4 linked regions of the Sus scrofa genome follow. The protein of the gene in region 1 purifies or fractionates together with the protein of each later gene. This does not show direct contact. Links are inferred from orthologs where the notes say so. Each region holds a gene or a part of one and is shown on either strand. Other genes may lie near its edges.

Evidence for each region.
Region 2: the proteins of MPHOSPH6 (region 1) and ZFC3H1 purify together in Homo sapiens (affinity purification with mass spectrometry; 3 studies listed by BioGRID and IntAct, with this or other methods). This does not show direct contact. The link is inferred for Sus scrofa from reciprocal best matches to the Homo sapiens genes MPHOSPH6 and ZFC3H1.
Region 3: the proteins of MPHOSPH6 (region 1) and EXOSC6 purify together in Homo sapiens (affinity purification with mass spectrometry; 3 studies listed by BioGRID and IntAct, with this or other methods). This does not show direct contact. The link is inferred for Sus scrofa from reciprocal best matches to the Homo sapiens genes MPHOSPH6 and EXOSC6.
Region 4: the proteins of MPHOSPH6 (region 1) and EXOSC5 purify together in Homo sapiens (affinity purification with mass spectrometry; 6 studies listed by BioGRID and IntAct, with this or other methods). This does not show direct contact. The link is inferred for Sus scrofa from reciprocal best matches to the Homo sapiens genes MPHOSPH6 and EXOSC5.

Annotation. Positions count from the first base shown.
Region 1 is NC_010448.4:6,268,018-6,271,530, reverse strand, and holds the end of MPHOSPH6 (M-phase phosphoprotein 6), read right to left. Parts: intron 1,691-3,513; coding exon 1,596-1,690; intron 1,180-1,595; coding exon 1,047-1,179; 3' UTR 510-1,046; downstream 1-509. UniProt on the Homo sapiens protein: RNA-binding protein that associates with the RNA exosome complex. Involved in the 3'-processing of the 7S pre-RNA to the mature 5.8S rRNA and play a role in recruiting the RNA exosome complex to pre-rRNA; this function may include C1D.
Region 2 is NC_010447.5:35,668,390-35,672,628, forward strand, and holds the start of ZFC3H1 (zinc finger C3H1 domain-containing protein), read right to left. Parts: upstream 2,803-4,239; 5' UTR 2,537-2,802; coding exon 1,939-2,536; intron 1-1,938. Other genes in the region: THAP2 (THAP domain-containing protein 2), read left to right, coding at 3,463-3,533. UniProt on the Homo sapiens protein: Subunit of the trimeric poly(A) tail exosome targeting (PAXT) complex, a complex that directs a subset of long and polyadenylated poly(A) RNAs for exosomal degradation. The RNA exosome is fundamental for the degradation of RNA in eukaryotic nuclei.
Region 3 is NC_010448.4:13,295,089-13,298,369, forward strand, and holds EXOSC6 (exosome complex component MTR3), read right to left. Parts: upstream 1,855-3,281; 5' UTR 1,786-1,854; coding exon 967-1,785; 3' UTR 503-966; downstream 1-502. UniProt on the Homo sapiens protein: Non-catalytic component of the RNA exosome complex which has 3'->5' exoribonuclease activity and participates in a multitude of cellular RNA processing and degradation events.
Region 4 is NC_010448.4:49,378,946-49,382,929, forward strand, and holds the start of EXOSC5 (exosome complex component RRP46), read right to left. Parts: upstream 2,803-3,984; 5' UTR 2,759-2,802; coding exon 2,611-2,758; intron 1-2,610. Other genes in the region: BCKDHA (2-oxoisovalerate dehydrogenase subunit alpha, mitochondrial), read left to right, coding at 3,256-3,372. UniProt on the Homo sapiens protein: Non-catalytic component of the RNA exosome complex which has 3'->5' exoribonuclease activity and participates in a multitude of cellular RNA processing and degradation events.

The DNA.
Region 1 (3,513 bases):
TTCGAGCTTCTGCCCCGGGATGTAGGGAGCCGGGAAGTGCACTGTCCTCACCTTCACACTGAACTGGAGCTGGATGAACGTCAAATTCACAACTTTTTTCTTAGCTCACCAGAGAACTTTAAGGGCACACAGCAACCTAAACCTAAGGGGATTCAGAGAGAGAGGAAAAATGCACCTCATTTAATTGTTAGGAACATAGTCATATGAAATCAGTGTTTCTCACAAGTTCTAGGTACACGTCTCTAGATGGACAGAGACACACACACACCTAACTCCAGGGGCTTTTGATTTACTGTTTAGTATAAGGTTCAGATTAGGAGATGGCCTGGTTGGTGGTAAATTCTTCCAGGTTAATTGATAACTGCTTTTAACACATAAAAGGCAATTTCCTATGGGTCAAGCTAATGTTTCACCATATTCTAAATTAATGGCTGTTTTTTAAAAGTTACTAATTGGACAAAAGTTCCAATACTACAGTTATCATTTGAAAGTATAAGAAAATAGAAAAGGTATATGAAACAGATATTTATTACAGAACAATATTTTTAAACAGTATTTAAAGGCTTTAAACAAAAAAGCATAATTCCACACACTGACAATGATTTAGTAGCATGGCAATACCTTAGGCTGGAGAGAAATGTTTGTTCTTGATGAATTTACATATAATAAATTCTCATGACATTTGATTCCAAAATATATGCATGAAATGGTTTGACATGATTAACAATTTAAAGGAGACTATAAACATGAGGTCAGTGACTGGGAGAGCTGTATTTAAAAAAAATCAGAGATAAATAATTCTTTAGGAAGCAACCATGTACCTATGTACGTCTGAAGATCAAGGGTTAAAAATCCATTCCTGATGAATCCCATTAAGCAAAGGATGTATAACATCCATCACACATCTGTTCGAAAAACAGCATGTTTTCACAATTATACATTTCTTTACAAATAAACAACACTAATGACTAGAGAGAAACCAATAGAATGAGTTCCAAAATGTGCTCTCGCGAGGCATCCCTGAGCCCTATCTTAAGGCATCCATTTTAATCTTGGGGCTTTAAGAACATCTTCTTTGCTTTAATTGGCTTTATGTCTCCATTTTCATCTTCTTCATAATTGGCACGGTCTCTTTTTTTGGCAAACTTTTTCCCAATTGTCCCCACCAAGGTCTCATATCTGTTAAAATGATAAACACAAGTTTAGTTTCAAATAAAGAAGACAGGAATCAAGACTTGTCAAGAATATCAAACCAAATATGCAACAAAGAGTACGAAAAATCAACACTATGATTGACAGAAACCATCTGATTTAAAATTTATGAACTTCTCTACAAATGATCAAATTCTTTACTTTTTTTTTCTGGGTTAGTGTTCTAAATAAATCGAGATGTATATTTTAAAATATGAATTAGAAGCAGCACTAGAAATGAGCCCTCAACTGCCAGCCTGTGACAGGTGTGAACACTGCCCTGCCACCCAGGAAGCCCTACGTGCTGAGTACTCCCTTCAAAGGCTGGCAGACCACCTGACTGAGTGCCAATGGACGCTGTGGGCTCTAGGCTCAATTCTACAGCCGACCAAGGTAACAGTTACCTTCTGGCCATTTCTTCATCTGACACATCGAGCTCCACTGTTTCATCTTCAACTTCTTCTGCTTTGTTTTTAGCATTCATCTGAAGCATTAATTTCTAAAAAATACAGAAATGCTGACTAGCAGAGCTGGAAAAAGCTTGTTAAAGGAACTGGTGTCAAATGTACTTGAAAGCAAAGAAATAAAAGTTACAGCATCTACAGCACTAGTCAAAATTTCTAAGGGATTCTCTATAATACTTTATTTCCCAGTATGCTAACAGAAGCTAACTCTGAATTAAAAAAAAATAATCGGCAAAGCTCCAAAAGATTAGAATTACTGTTAATGAGTTTAAATTTTATTGTATTATTTTTGTTGGGGGGGGGCACACCTGTTGCACATGGAAGTTCCCAGGCTAGGGGTCAAATTGAAGCTGCAGCTGTAAGCCTACGCCACACCCACAACCGAAGCAACGCCAGGTCTGTGCAGGGCCTGTGACTTACACCACAGTTCACGGAAAATCCTGGATCCTTAACCCACTGTGTGAGGCCAGGGATTGAACCCGCATCCTCATGGATACGAGTCGCATTCTTAATCCATTGAGATACAAGGGAACTCCCTAAATTGTATTTTAGATCATAAATCTTAGTTACGTGTATCTAAAGCAGGCACACTGCTAGCTTTAGATAGGGGCAAGAAAAAATATAGTTTCAGATATCCTTTGAACTCCCCGTCTTTGAGCCAAATAGAAGAAATGCTGCAGTCAAATATAACTTTAAGTGCAGTTTTTGGTGGTGGTTGGGGAACAGGGAGGGCAAACTGCTAGAAGGATTGAAGGCTGGCTCTCGTATGATGGAGAGGAGGGTGGACAATGCACTGACTTTCACATGATGTCCATGTGCCTTGGGTCTATCCTCCCTCTCTTTTTCTTACATTTACCTTTTCTTTTCCCTTTCTCCCTTCCTTCCCCCACTCCTCTTTTTAGGGCTGCACCTAGAACATATGGAGGCTCCCAGACTAGGGGTTAAATTGAAGTGCAACTGCCTGCCAACACCACAGCCACAGCCACACGGGATCCCAGCCACATCTGCAAACTACACCAGAGTTCACAGCAATGTTGGATCCTTAACCCACTGAGCGAGGCCAGGGATCGAACCCACATCTTCATGGATACTAGCTGGGTTCATTACTGCTGAGCCACAGTGGGTACTCCACATTTATCTTTTCTTGATAGTTACCTTCTGACAGACTTAAAATAAAACAATTTCAAGAACACAAGCTCTGTGAGGGCCTACGTTTTGGTTCCCTGCTGGATTTCCAGTGTCTCAAAAGGGCTGAGGTACCACAGGTACAGAGTAAATATTTACTGAGTAAATTCACTCAATGGTGGGTGTCACCAGAAACACAGTATTAACAAATGTGTTCTAAGTACATCCTACTTATAACAAAGTAAGTGCTCTCAAGTTGCTATCACTCTTTTCATAACCAGGTACACCAAAGTCTTCTCACAATTCATGACAGCTCAGATCTGCAAGTCAAACGGTTCAAAACCCTCTTCCAGAGAGAATATATTCAGTGTTACAGGGTGCCAGTAGTTAAAGCCATTTCCTGATAATCTCTCACATTAAATTCGGGGGGCCAGATCAACCTCTTTCCCTGATGCACCGTACATACTCTGAAGTCCTTGTCCACCCAATACCCTGGTCTTTGGGCATCACCCACTCATAATCTTTGCTATCTTTTTTCCCTTTTACTCCACTGCCCCTTTTCTCTTTCTAATCTAAAGCTTTAGCCAGGCCAAAACCAAGGAAAGTATAGATTAAAAACAAACACCAAGGAAAGTATAGATTAAAAACAAAACCAAGGAAAGTGTTGATTTTGTGTAAAATTTAATACCTTAATTATCATGCCCCTTTAAAAAAAAAAAAAAAAAAAAAAAAA
Region 2 (4,239 bases), on another chromosome or scaffold:
CATATGCCTATTTACTAATAAAAACATATAAAGTTGGAGTTCTCTTTTGTGGTGCACAGAAGATTAAGGATCCAGCACTGTCACTGTAGCGATTTGGGTCGCTGCTATGGCATGGGTTCGATCCCTGGCCCAGAAACTTTGATAGGCCACGGGAGCAGCCAAAGAAAAAACCCCACAAACTATATAAGGTTAATAATTAATGAAGGTATGTGGTAGAGGTCAAATTGGTATTGAATGAGAAGGCAAAGGCAGGAGCTAGGTAAATCTACTCATTACTTTCTTCTCTAAAATAAACTAAGAAAAAACTTTAAGCTCTCCATAATACTTTTTACATACTTCAATTCGAACTTTTTACACTGAACTATGGTCATTGATATGTCTCTCCCACAAAAATTACAAGTCTCATCTTTGTACTCTTAAAAAATCTGAATATATGTGCTTAAATAGCCTTTCTGCTTTTAGATTCATAATTGACAACTAATAAATCCTTGATTAAAAAATATCTTGGGCAGAGGTTTTCTAACTTCACTGGAAGACTATCCTCTTTTGAAAAGTTAAATACAGGGAGTTCCTGCTGTGGCATCTCTGGAGCGATGAGATGCAGGTTTGATCCCTGGCCCGACACAGTGGCTTAACGATCCAGTGCTGCAACTGTGGCGTAGGTCACAACTGTGGCTCGGATCTGATCCCTGGCCCAGGAACTCCATATGCCTCGGGGCGGTCAAAAAAGAAAAGAAAAAAAAAGTTAAATACCAAAATGATTTTTTCTGAAACAATCCTGGAGTGCTCCTAATCCAACTTTTGGTTGTAATTTTTTCAGAGCACTAGCACCAGAAGCTGCTACTTCTTACCTAAACCTATATTTCTATCCTGACATCTGGGAAAGACAATTTGGGCCTGAGTATCCCATGAAAATAATGTTCACTGTCTCCCAAACAAATGTCATTATATGTTAAGTGTCATATATAATGAATATATTAAAAAATCATTACACCATGGAAATTACAATCAGTAATAAAGTTCTTAGTAAACTTTTTATGTGGTTATCATGGAATAAGTCAAGACACAGACATATAAACACATCTTAAAATGGCAAATCTTCAGATGAGTAAACTCAGGAATGTTTAAAGATCAGAAGGGACAAAAAACAGATATTTTGCAATTTTCCTTCTCAATCTCTCCATAATCTCCACCTTCCCATAAATCCCATGGTTTCCAATATATTGAGATAAAAATGCTGTTAAGTTTCATTCTCTCTGTAGCCCAACTCTAAGAGTTATAAAATGTCAAAAATGTGAACATAAGAAATAAGACTTAAAGTTTTCCAAAAAAGACATATAAATTTAAAGCCTCTGAATTAATAGAGCTGGTGAATATACCGGGGTTTTTTTTTTCCAACTTTAGAAGGCAGCAATGTGTAAGAATAAATCAAGATAGAAAGGTTAAAACAGACTCAAATAAAAGCAGTAGGATTATGCAGAATGAAACTTCACAATTTCCAATGTCGCAGTGCAATATGATATAAGCAATGGTATTCCCCAAACTTTTTATGGCTAATATTTTTTTTCTTCCTCTAAAAATCTAAGTCAACATCACCTAAAAGCAAGGGTAGTATTAAAAAGAGGGTTAATGAAACTTGGGCTTCTGATGTAATATTACAGATCTGATTTTACACTTCCTTAGGTTCCATTAGTTTGGCCCCCATCCATAACACGTAAATATTTATTAAAAAGCAATAAACTCAATAAAGTAATTTTTTAAAATAACGCTACGGTTTGACACATGGAGATTACCAAAGAACCAACTACGTTAAGTATACTTACAGTGACAAGCGGTTCTGATGGTTCAGAAAAGTTACTCATCTCAAAGACCTAGCAATGACGCTAAAAGGAACTTTAGTAGTGACACACCCAGGGCAGACCGCCACGTTAAGGATACAACTCTTCCGAGGTGGAGAGGGCTCTCGCCAGCTCTGACTGCTGCTGAATCCAGATCCTGCTCCTCCTCCTAGGGGAGGTCTGCCCCCCGGCTTGCCTCCTCGCTCACCCCCTCCTCGCCCCCGACTCCAGCGACTCCCACCCCGGTAAGGCCTGCCTCGAAAACGGAAACGGTCCAAGGCAATGTGGCTCCGTTCCCAAAAGGACGGCCGGGGGCTGCTTTCGGACAGTGAGCTCGAAGGCATCCGCACGGAAGGCGGGTGAGACCTGAACGGCTCTTTGGGTCGGTAGCTGCTGTGTCCCCTGAGGTGGCCCCGCTCCGACGCGTGCCGTGAGCGTGAGAAATTCCTCAGCTGCTGCTGAGAAGAGGACGACGACGAGGAGGAGCCACCGCCTCCGCCGGATCCACCACCCCGGGCCGGGTGAGGAGGCCTTCGCCGCGGATACGGTAACAGCCCTCCGCCACTGCTGCTGCTGCTGCTCCGGCTCCGTATCTGGCTGTTATTATCGTCATCGCTGATCTCTCCATCTTCGAGCTCCCCTTCTTCCTTGGGCGAGAGGCCACTGGAGGCCGGGGCCGGAGTATCTGCGGTCGCCATCCCGGGAGCAGTGCCTTCCACACAACCTTAGCCCTCTGTCCGGGGATCCACCCTACAATTGTCTTCCTCCTCTGTTTCCTTTTTTCCTAACGGACCCGGTCGGTGCGGTTTTACAGTACTCGGACACCTAGTGGGCTCTGCTCCCCAACTTCCCCGCACCCCAGCTCTTTCTCGCCGGACCGTCGCAATTCAGTTCCCTTCCCTAGCGCCCCCTTGCTCTCCGCGATCGGGGCTCTTCCGCCTCGCGAGAAAGGGTCTCTGGAAGTGGCTCTACTCGTGACGTCACTTCCCGAAGCACGCAGGAAACAAGGCTCCCAATTCACGCGATAAAAATTAGGACGACGCGATTCTCAGTGGGCGTTGTAGTTTTTTTTGAGTATTGCTTTCCGTTTGTCCTTCCAAAATCTGTGCCTGTTAGCTACTCCAGACCCTAAACTCGGGTTTCTGGGTGCGTGGCAGGGTAGGCGGGTCTCTTCTTAATCTCGGCTGCGAGATTCATATTTCATAGTGATAGGGGGCTGGTGGGGGGCATACCTCTTCGATTGCTCAAAGAACAACTACCAAAGAGACCAGTAGTCCCTCTCTTTTGGGAGCCAGCGGTAGGGCGGGTTGCGTTCGCCATGTTGGTGAAGGCAAACGAAGGGGACTGGAGCTCCAGGACTGTAGGCTCTGCTGCCCCAAGTCCGCCATATTAATAAAGAGAAAGGGAAGGTTGACTACCCCCCCCCAGCTACACACACACACACACACACACACACACACACACACACAACACGCATACACAACCCCTTCCTCGCACGCAGGTCCCACGACTCAGTTCTTTGGCCCTTCCCCTGCCACGCTTCCCCAGTCTCTGCCCGAAGGGAGCGTAGCAACCCGCACCTCAAATCAGGCTTAAGACAGCGCCGAATGAGGGGGAAAGGGAAATGCCGACCAATTGCGCCGCGGCGGGCTGTGCTACTACCTACAACAAGCACATTAACATCAGCTTCCACAGGTAACCTGGGCAGGGAGTGCGGGTGACGAAAACGGGAGTTCCTTGACTGGGTATCGCTTGGGGCGGGGGGGAAGACCAGGGAGGATTCTACTAATTCTGATAACTTCCGTAGCTAACTAGTAGCAGAGGCGCAACATTTTTACCCTTTGTGTGTGTTTCTCAAATCTGTCCAATTTTTCTCTCCCTTCGGGGAAGGTTTGCTCACTTTGAGAAAGAGAGCCAAGTTCTGTACGGTGATTGCTCCTTTAGAAAGTGACAAGGAAGATACCTTAATTTTCTACTCTTTTACTCCTGTGTATTAGATCAGGTCTTGACATTAATGACACCGTAAGAGGAAGTGAGATCTTCCTGTTCAAGCCAGCAATCACCTAAAAAGCCTGCTGTGTTCTCATTAGAAGTTAATTCTTACTGGCTGAACTGACATGGGAAGCATTTGGATTTTTAATCTTTTAGTCACAGGCAGTAATTTTGTGGAGGAATTGAGTCATCATTAATAGCCGTGGAATTAAGCGATGTTAATGAAAGTGGGAAATGAAAGCTTTCTTTTCTTTTAGTATGCAGAGTAGTATAATAAAAGGAACCCGGATTGTGTTTTTCCTACGTTTGCTGGAAGAGCAAGCAAAATTCTTTAGTTCTGTTAAATCAGACCTCTTGAAAGGGCTTTGAACACTATATGACATAAGTACTTAGGTAAATGTTTTACCTT
Region 3 (3,281 bases), about 7.0 Mb from region 1:
CTTACATATTTCAGATCTGCTTTGGAAAAATATGTCACTGAGGAGAAATAAAATTTTCTTTTCCCTGGTCAGGGGTCCTTAGTGTAGTCTCAAAGCCTCACTACAGTCTCTCAACTGCCCCTTTCTAGAGAAGCTGAGCAGGCCTCGGAGACACACAAGCTCAGAAGCTCACACCAAGTCAGGGCAGAGGAGAACAGGCTGCCAGGCCTTTCTCCAATCCAGACCTGAGCACAAACCCACAGCGCTCCGGAGCCACACAGGGACGAGTCCACCCTTGTGGTCAGACAGGCCAGCTCTGCCCTAATGGAACAGGCTGCATCTAGTTTCCCAACATTCAGAAACTCTCACTCTTGGCAGTCAAATGTCCTCTTCCAGGAACCAAGACTGGACCAGGGACACCAGGACACATTTAAAATAATACTGTCCCAAGCCTTGAGTCCAAGAACACACTACACAGCTCAGGAGAGCCTTGCTCTATCCTGTACCAAGAAGAACAACAGAAGAACTTTTCAGCTATAAAAGAATTTCTGTTTTAGTTCAGATAGAAGTGGGAAGACACAACCCCCTTGTCTATTATCTCAAAAGCAGGCCCATTAGATAGGAGACAGTCACTAAGTGGCCCGCACAGGGTCCATCCCTCACAAGGCACTAGCTGCAGGTTCCCGTTTTTCAGGCAAGTCCACCTAAAGTCCTTTCCACCTTGGAAATCAGACTGCAGTAGCAGGTTTCTTCAACTGGGTCGTAGCTGAGCGCCAACCCAATTAGAAAAGTTTCTTAAACGATAGTTTATAAAACAAACAACAAAAAAAAAAACACAGCTGTCCGGCACATCAGTTCTGAGCGCACTTTCCCAGATCCTCTCCCGGGCTCTAGTTCTTGGCTCAGCGCCGTCTGCAAGCCGACGGCTCGGGTTCTTTCGGCGACAGCGGTAGCCTGCTCCTCGGCGTCGTTGCTCACACTTATGGTTCAAGGCGGCGCGGAGGCGCCCCTCCGGCGGGCGGCCCGTACCAAGCACTGCTGCAGAACTGGGTAGAGGCGCTGGCAGCCCTCGAGACCCAGGCGCACGGCTTCTGCCCAACTCTCTGTCGGGCCACCCTCCCCGCTGCCCAGCAGCCCGGCCACCTGGTTAAGCACCGGCATGAGCGCCACGGTGAGGCTGGCGGCGGCGCGTTCCTCCTCGAGCAGCGTGGGGTCCAGCAGCCAGGTGGGTGCGGGCCCAGGAGTGTGGCTTAAGCCGCAGCCCACCACCAGGTCGTACATCTCTATGCCCGCGTCGGCCAGGGCGAGCGCGGCGGCCGTGAGAGCGGCGGCCAACGCCGAGCCGCCGTCCTCGAGCAGCAGCGCCGACACTTCAAGCTGCGCGCGCGGGTAGCGACCCAAGCGCACGGCCGGCTCGAGCGCCTCCTGCAGCGCCAGCGCCAGCTCACGCTCCTCGCCGCCGCCTGGGGGAGCGCGGCGCCGTCGGCCCGAGAAGGGCGCGCGGCGGAAGTCGCAGAGCAAGCGGCCCCGCAACGCGGCCGGGGCCTCGCCGCCCGTTCCGGCCGGGCCGCCGCCGCGCTCGCCGCCCTCGGCCTGGCGTGGGCCGGACACGGCGCACAGCACCTTGGTGCCTCCAGCCTCCAGGTAGGCCGAGCCCTTGGCTTGACTCAGTAGCCCGGCGCGCGCGTACACGGGCCGCAGCCGCGTCGGGTCACGGGCGGCTGGCTCCTCGTCCTCGCCGACCGCGTACAGCTGCGGCGGCTGCGACTCCTCAGGCCCGCGGATGCGGCGGTGGTCCCCGGGCATGGCAGCACCTAGAGTACAAGCCACTTCCGCCCGTCCTGCCTCGCGCGCCTGCTCTTCCGCTCGCTTAAAGTCGCGCGCCCGCGCGAGGGCTGTCGGGATAGCAGCGGGCGGCGCTGCACTGACCCCTGCCGCCCCGGAGGGAGAACGGCGAGCGCTGTAGAGCCCCAGGCAGCAGCGAGGACACCAGGTGCTTCGTGGTTGGGTGGCTGTGAGGCAGGCCTGCAGAAGTGGGACCTAGACCTGCTTGGCCGACCTTTAGCCGATGTGAAATTGTAGTCATTTTAATTTTGCATTTATTTGTATGATTATTTTTTTGTTTTTTGTTTTCTTTTTTTGCCATCCCACAGCATGTGGAGTTCCTGGGCTAGGGATCAGCCAGTCACAACGAAAGCCACAGCTGTGGCAACACCACATCCTTCACCCACTGTGCTGGGCTGAGGATCGAAGGGTCCCAGCGCTCCCAAGACACCAATGATCCCACTGCACAACTGGAACTCCCGTGTGACAATTTTCTGTTTCCTACTGCCTTGCCTAAGAGTGCAGTGACCTTTTGTCTTGGTCACTGCTGTACTGTCAGTGCCCTGGCTGGCATAAACGCTTGCTAATGAATAAATGGAACTGTCTCCTGCACTGGATTGTGAGTTCTTTGTATCCCTGACACTCCATACCAGGCATGCAGCTGCTGCAGTCAGGGCCTCAGCACCTTCCTTCTACCTAGCTCTCATAACTCCGTGTGAGAACAGCCTTTCATTCCCAGGCCTTGTGACTGTTGGCCTCTGCTGCTTCAGCTGCCATAGACCTGCTTTTCCTCCTCTCTCCAAAGTCAGCAGGACTGAGAAATGACCCTCGGCCTCAGAGCCAGCCTGCTGTACCCAGTGGACTGGAAATCAGCCAGAGGGGGCACAACCAACTACTATACACTGCTGCTTCCAAACCTAGCTGTCTTCAGACTTGGGTGAAGGGGCAAACCAGGTCAGAGTCTCCATCCTCAATGTCCAACTTTTAAGTCCTGGAACCAGGAATGAGGGGACAGGCAAAGGAGTGGAGGGAAGCAAGTGATCTACCCTAAATGCCTCCTATACCAAAGAATGCTTCTGATCTACACCCAACCTGCACACCAAGAGGAAGAGGGATATGGGCCTAAGAAATGGAAAGGTTTTCCTACAAGAGGCTCCAAGGAGATTCTCTCTGCCTCCAATAATCCCTTGAATCACCTTCCATTGAATGATGAATGCCTCTCTTCATCTAACCCCCCTATTCTGTGGGCCACCTCTACATGTAAGTCCTGAGCCATTATTCCCAAAGTTCAGGGGTCTAGGGCTAGACTTGGCAATGGCTGCAACCAGAAGCCAGTTGGAGCACTTATTCTACAGACACCCGGGGAGCCACAGGCTCTCACACCAGGGGTGCCTATGGGTAGGATGTGCGGGAGGGAAGGGAGAGAAGCGATCATGTGGCATTATCAAGTATTGCACATGGTCCTTTTATTCTCTGCA
Region 4 (3,984 bases), about 43 Mb from region 1:
CTTCCAAATTTTTCTGACCATAACCCCCAATAAGAAATATATTTCAGGAGTTCCCGTCGTGGCGCAGTGGTTAACGAATCCGACTAGGAACCATGAGGTTGCGGGTTCGGTCCCTGCCTTTGCTCAGTGGGTTAACGATCCGGCGTTGCCGTGAGCTGTGGTGTAGGTTGCAGACGCGGCTTGGATCCCGCGTTGCTGTGGCTCTGGCGTAGGCTAGTGTCTACAGCTCCGATTCAACCCCTAGCCTGGGAACCTCCATATGTTGCAGGAGCGGCCCAAGAAATAGCAAAAAAGACAAAAAAAAAAAATTTTTTTTCAGGGAGTTCCCTCTGCAGCTCAGAGGTTAAAGAACTCAACTAATATTCATGAGGATGTGGGTTCGATCCCTAGCCTTGCTCAGTGGGTTAAGGATCCAATGTGGCTGTGGCTGTGGCGTAGGCCAACAGTTGTAGCTCCGATTCAGCCCCTAGCCTGGAACTTCCATATGCCGCAGGCCCAGCCACAAAAAGCAAAAAAAAAAGAATCACTAACGAATGCACATTGGACTCACTGCAGAGCTTTAAAAGACACTGATGCACAGGCCCCTCCCCTCAGAGAGCCTAATACCATTGCTGAGGGCTGGCGCTCAGGCACCGGCAGCCTGTGAGCTCCACAGGCCATTCTAATGTGCAGCGGGGATTGCAACCTGCAGTGGGAGGACACGGAGCTGGTGCACAGCTTCAAAACGCTGGCCTGCAATCAGAATTGCCGCTGTAGTGGATTAAAAAGTGTAGAGGGCCAGACTTAGCTGGTGTGGGTGGGTTCTGAGGCTTCAGCATTTTTTTTTTTTTGGCTGTGCCCACGGCACATGGAATTCCTGGGCCAGAGATCAAACCCTTGCCACAGCTTGGACCTGAGCCACAGCAGTAACAATGCTGGAACCTTAACCTGCTGAGTCACCAGGGAACTCCTGGGGCTCGGAATTCTTAACCTCAGTAGAGATTCTGAGGCCAGGAGCATGTGAGACACACTTCTGAGGGCCTTTGAGGGACTCTGCTCCAGGGTCCTGGGCTTTGGGGTTTTAGAACATGGAAGAGGCTCAGTATTTAAGTGCTAAGAAACTTGCATGAAGGGCAGTCCTCCGTACCTCTCTTTGACCTCCTGTCTCTGCTGCAGCCACTTTGCTCTCCTGACTGCTCCTCAAACACACCAGGCAAGTTTTTGTCTCAGGGCCTTTACCCTTGTCCCCAATGCTTTTCTCTTACTGTCTTGAGGGTTTGCTCCCTTACCTTTAGATCTTTATTCAAATGGTACCATCTTAGCGAAGCCTTCCCTGACCATCCCATTTGAGACTGCACCCCTCTCTGGCACGCCCTATTCTTCCTTCCTGCGGTAGTTTCCTCCATAGCCTTTTACTAAGTTTTACTTAGTTATCACTTGTTTCTCTGATGGAAATGGAAACTCTTCTAGGGCAGGAATTTAAAAACTTATATAAAACAGAAAAAAATATAAAAAAAGAAATTAAAAAAACACAAAAAACCTTTTTAGCTATGATTTCTCAGTGCTTAGAACAGTACTTAGCAAAAACACATGTGTTCAGGAATTCCCGCTGTGGCACAAAGGAATTGGCAGGAACCCTGGCCCAGCGTTGCCACTCTAAGGGCATAGGAAGGACACAGTTGGGGCTTGGATGTGATCCCCAGCCTGGCAACTCCGTATATATAAAACAACGAAATTCCCATTTTGGCTCAGCGGGTAAGAACCCAACTAGTATCCATGAGGCTATGGGTTCAATCCCTGGCCCCGCTCGGTGGGTTAAGGATCTGGGGTTGCCGTGAGCTGTGGTGTAGGCCGCAGATGCAGCTCAGATCTCGCATTGCTGTGGCTGCGATGTAGGCCAGCAGCTACAGCTTCATTTGAACCCCTAGCCTGGGAACCTCCATATGTTGCAAGTGCGGTCCTAAAAAGCAAAAAAAAGAAAAAAGAAAAACAAACAAAAAAAAATCAGTAGTGGTGATTTGCCAGTCTACGAGGTATTTACGCAAAAGAACAGGTTTGCCTCAACCAGGGATAGATGAATCCAGAGTGCATGTGTGGGAGGAACCTAGTCAAGGAGGACTTTTTTTACACGGTGAGATTTCCCCTATTCTGGAGTATTCGTTCTTTTTTTTTTTTTTTTTTTTTTTTGCTCTCTCAGGCCTCACATGGAAGTTCCCAGGCTAGGGATCTAATCAGAGCTACAACTGCCAGCCTACACCACAACCACAGAAACCCCAGATCCGAGCTGTGTCTGCGACCTACACCACAGCTCACAGCAACGCCGGATCCTTAACCCGCTAAGGGAGGCCAGGGATCGAACCCTCATCCTCATGGATCCTAGTCGGGTTCCTTAACTGCTGAGCCACGAAGGGAAGTCCCTGGAGTATTCGTTCTTAAGAGAAGGTCTGCCCCTCTCTCATCCTGAGGCATATTTACCAGAGTGGAGGTATCTTCACCCTTCTATTTGTCTACTGGCATATGCAGTACCATTCACTCCGGCAAGAACTGCATCAGTCCAAGAAGATATTTACCAGCTAACACAATACACTGTACCCGCCCACGAGAACAAATACGACGTGGGTAAATTCTTACCTTGCAGGAAAGAGGCAGAGCCATCGGGCCGGGACAACAAGTTTTGTTCGCAGGCAAAGTGCCGGAGAGTACAGCTGGGGCTCCGAGGGCCAGACTCTGCTCCAGACTCGGGGCGTACCTTGGTTTCAGTCTGCATCGACTCCTCCATCGCCGGGGAGCCCACGTGCAGCAGGGACTGTCGCTTCCGCCCAGAAGCGCGCGCTTGCGTACAGACTGCGTACCCAATGAGCAAGCGCCAACTTGGGTGCGGGGCCCTCCGGGATCCGCGCCCGCACGTGTCTCTGCGTTTACTAACAATCTGGTCCCTCCTACTCCCGCCTAGAGAGTCCAGGAAAGCCATTGGACAGAAGGGAAGAGAGGGCGGGCCTTGGCATGAGCTCGTCCTACCCGAGGCCCCGGGGCCCTGAAACCCTGAAGCCGAGCTCAGTTGCCCTCTGCTTTGCCTGTTAAGAGGAATAACTCCGGTGAAGCGATCGGAGTAATTTGGGGAAATCTGGATTATTTTACCCACCTATATATGTGTCCTAAAGACCGCAGGATTAGTAGCAGGTGGTTTCTTGGCAGAGCGATCCTGGTATTTGAGTCAGGCTCCTGAAGGGGCAGCCCCAGTCTCGCCAAGGAGGGGGACGCTACTCTGAGGTATTAATGGTCAAGATGGCGTTGGCGGTGGCTGTGGCGAGGGTTTGGGAGCGCAGTCAAGGCTTGGGCCAGGCTGGCCTCCTGCTTCTGCGGCGGCTTGGGGCTCGGGGTCTGGCTAGATCTGTGAGTACTGGGGAGGTACCCGAGAAGGTATAGAAATGTTAACTCCTTCTTCAGAGTGTGGCGTCCCTGTAGGGAGTACATGGAGGGCGGTTGAAGGGAGAAGGGCTGCAGAAACATCTTGTAGCGGACCCTCAAGGGAAGAAGTTTCACTTCCTTAGGAGAGGCAAAGCGGGACAGCTTCTTTGTGGACCCTCAGGGAGGAAGACAACGTGGAGAAAGTGAGGGAGGGCGTTTCTTATTAGTTGCCACCAATGCCCCGGGGAGGCCTCTTGGAGGACATGGGGGGAAAGTGTGACCTTTCTCCTCAGGGGTTGGAGAGTGAAATTGCGTTTACAAAGGAAAGATTTTCTTCTTGGGAAAGACTCCCCCTTCCAAGAAGAGAAGAGAGAGCAGATACCCCAGCACAGGCTTTTATAGTGCCTTTTTGCTTCAACTCTGGTTTTTTTTAGTTTGTTTTTTTACTTTTTATTGGGGCATCTGCAGCATATGGAAGTTCCCAGGCTAGGGGTGGAATGGGAACCGCAGCTGGGGGCCAACGCCAGATTCTTAACCCAGTGAGCGGGGCCAGGAGTGGAACCTGCATCCTCATGGACACTATGACCGGTTCCTAAC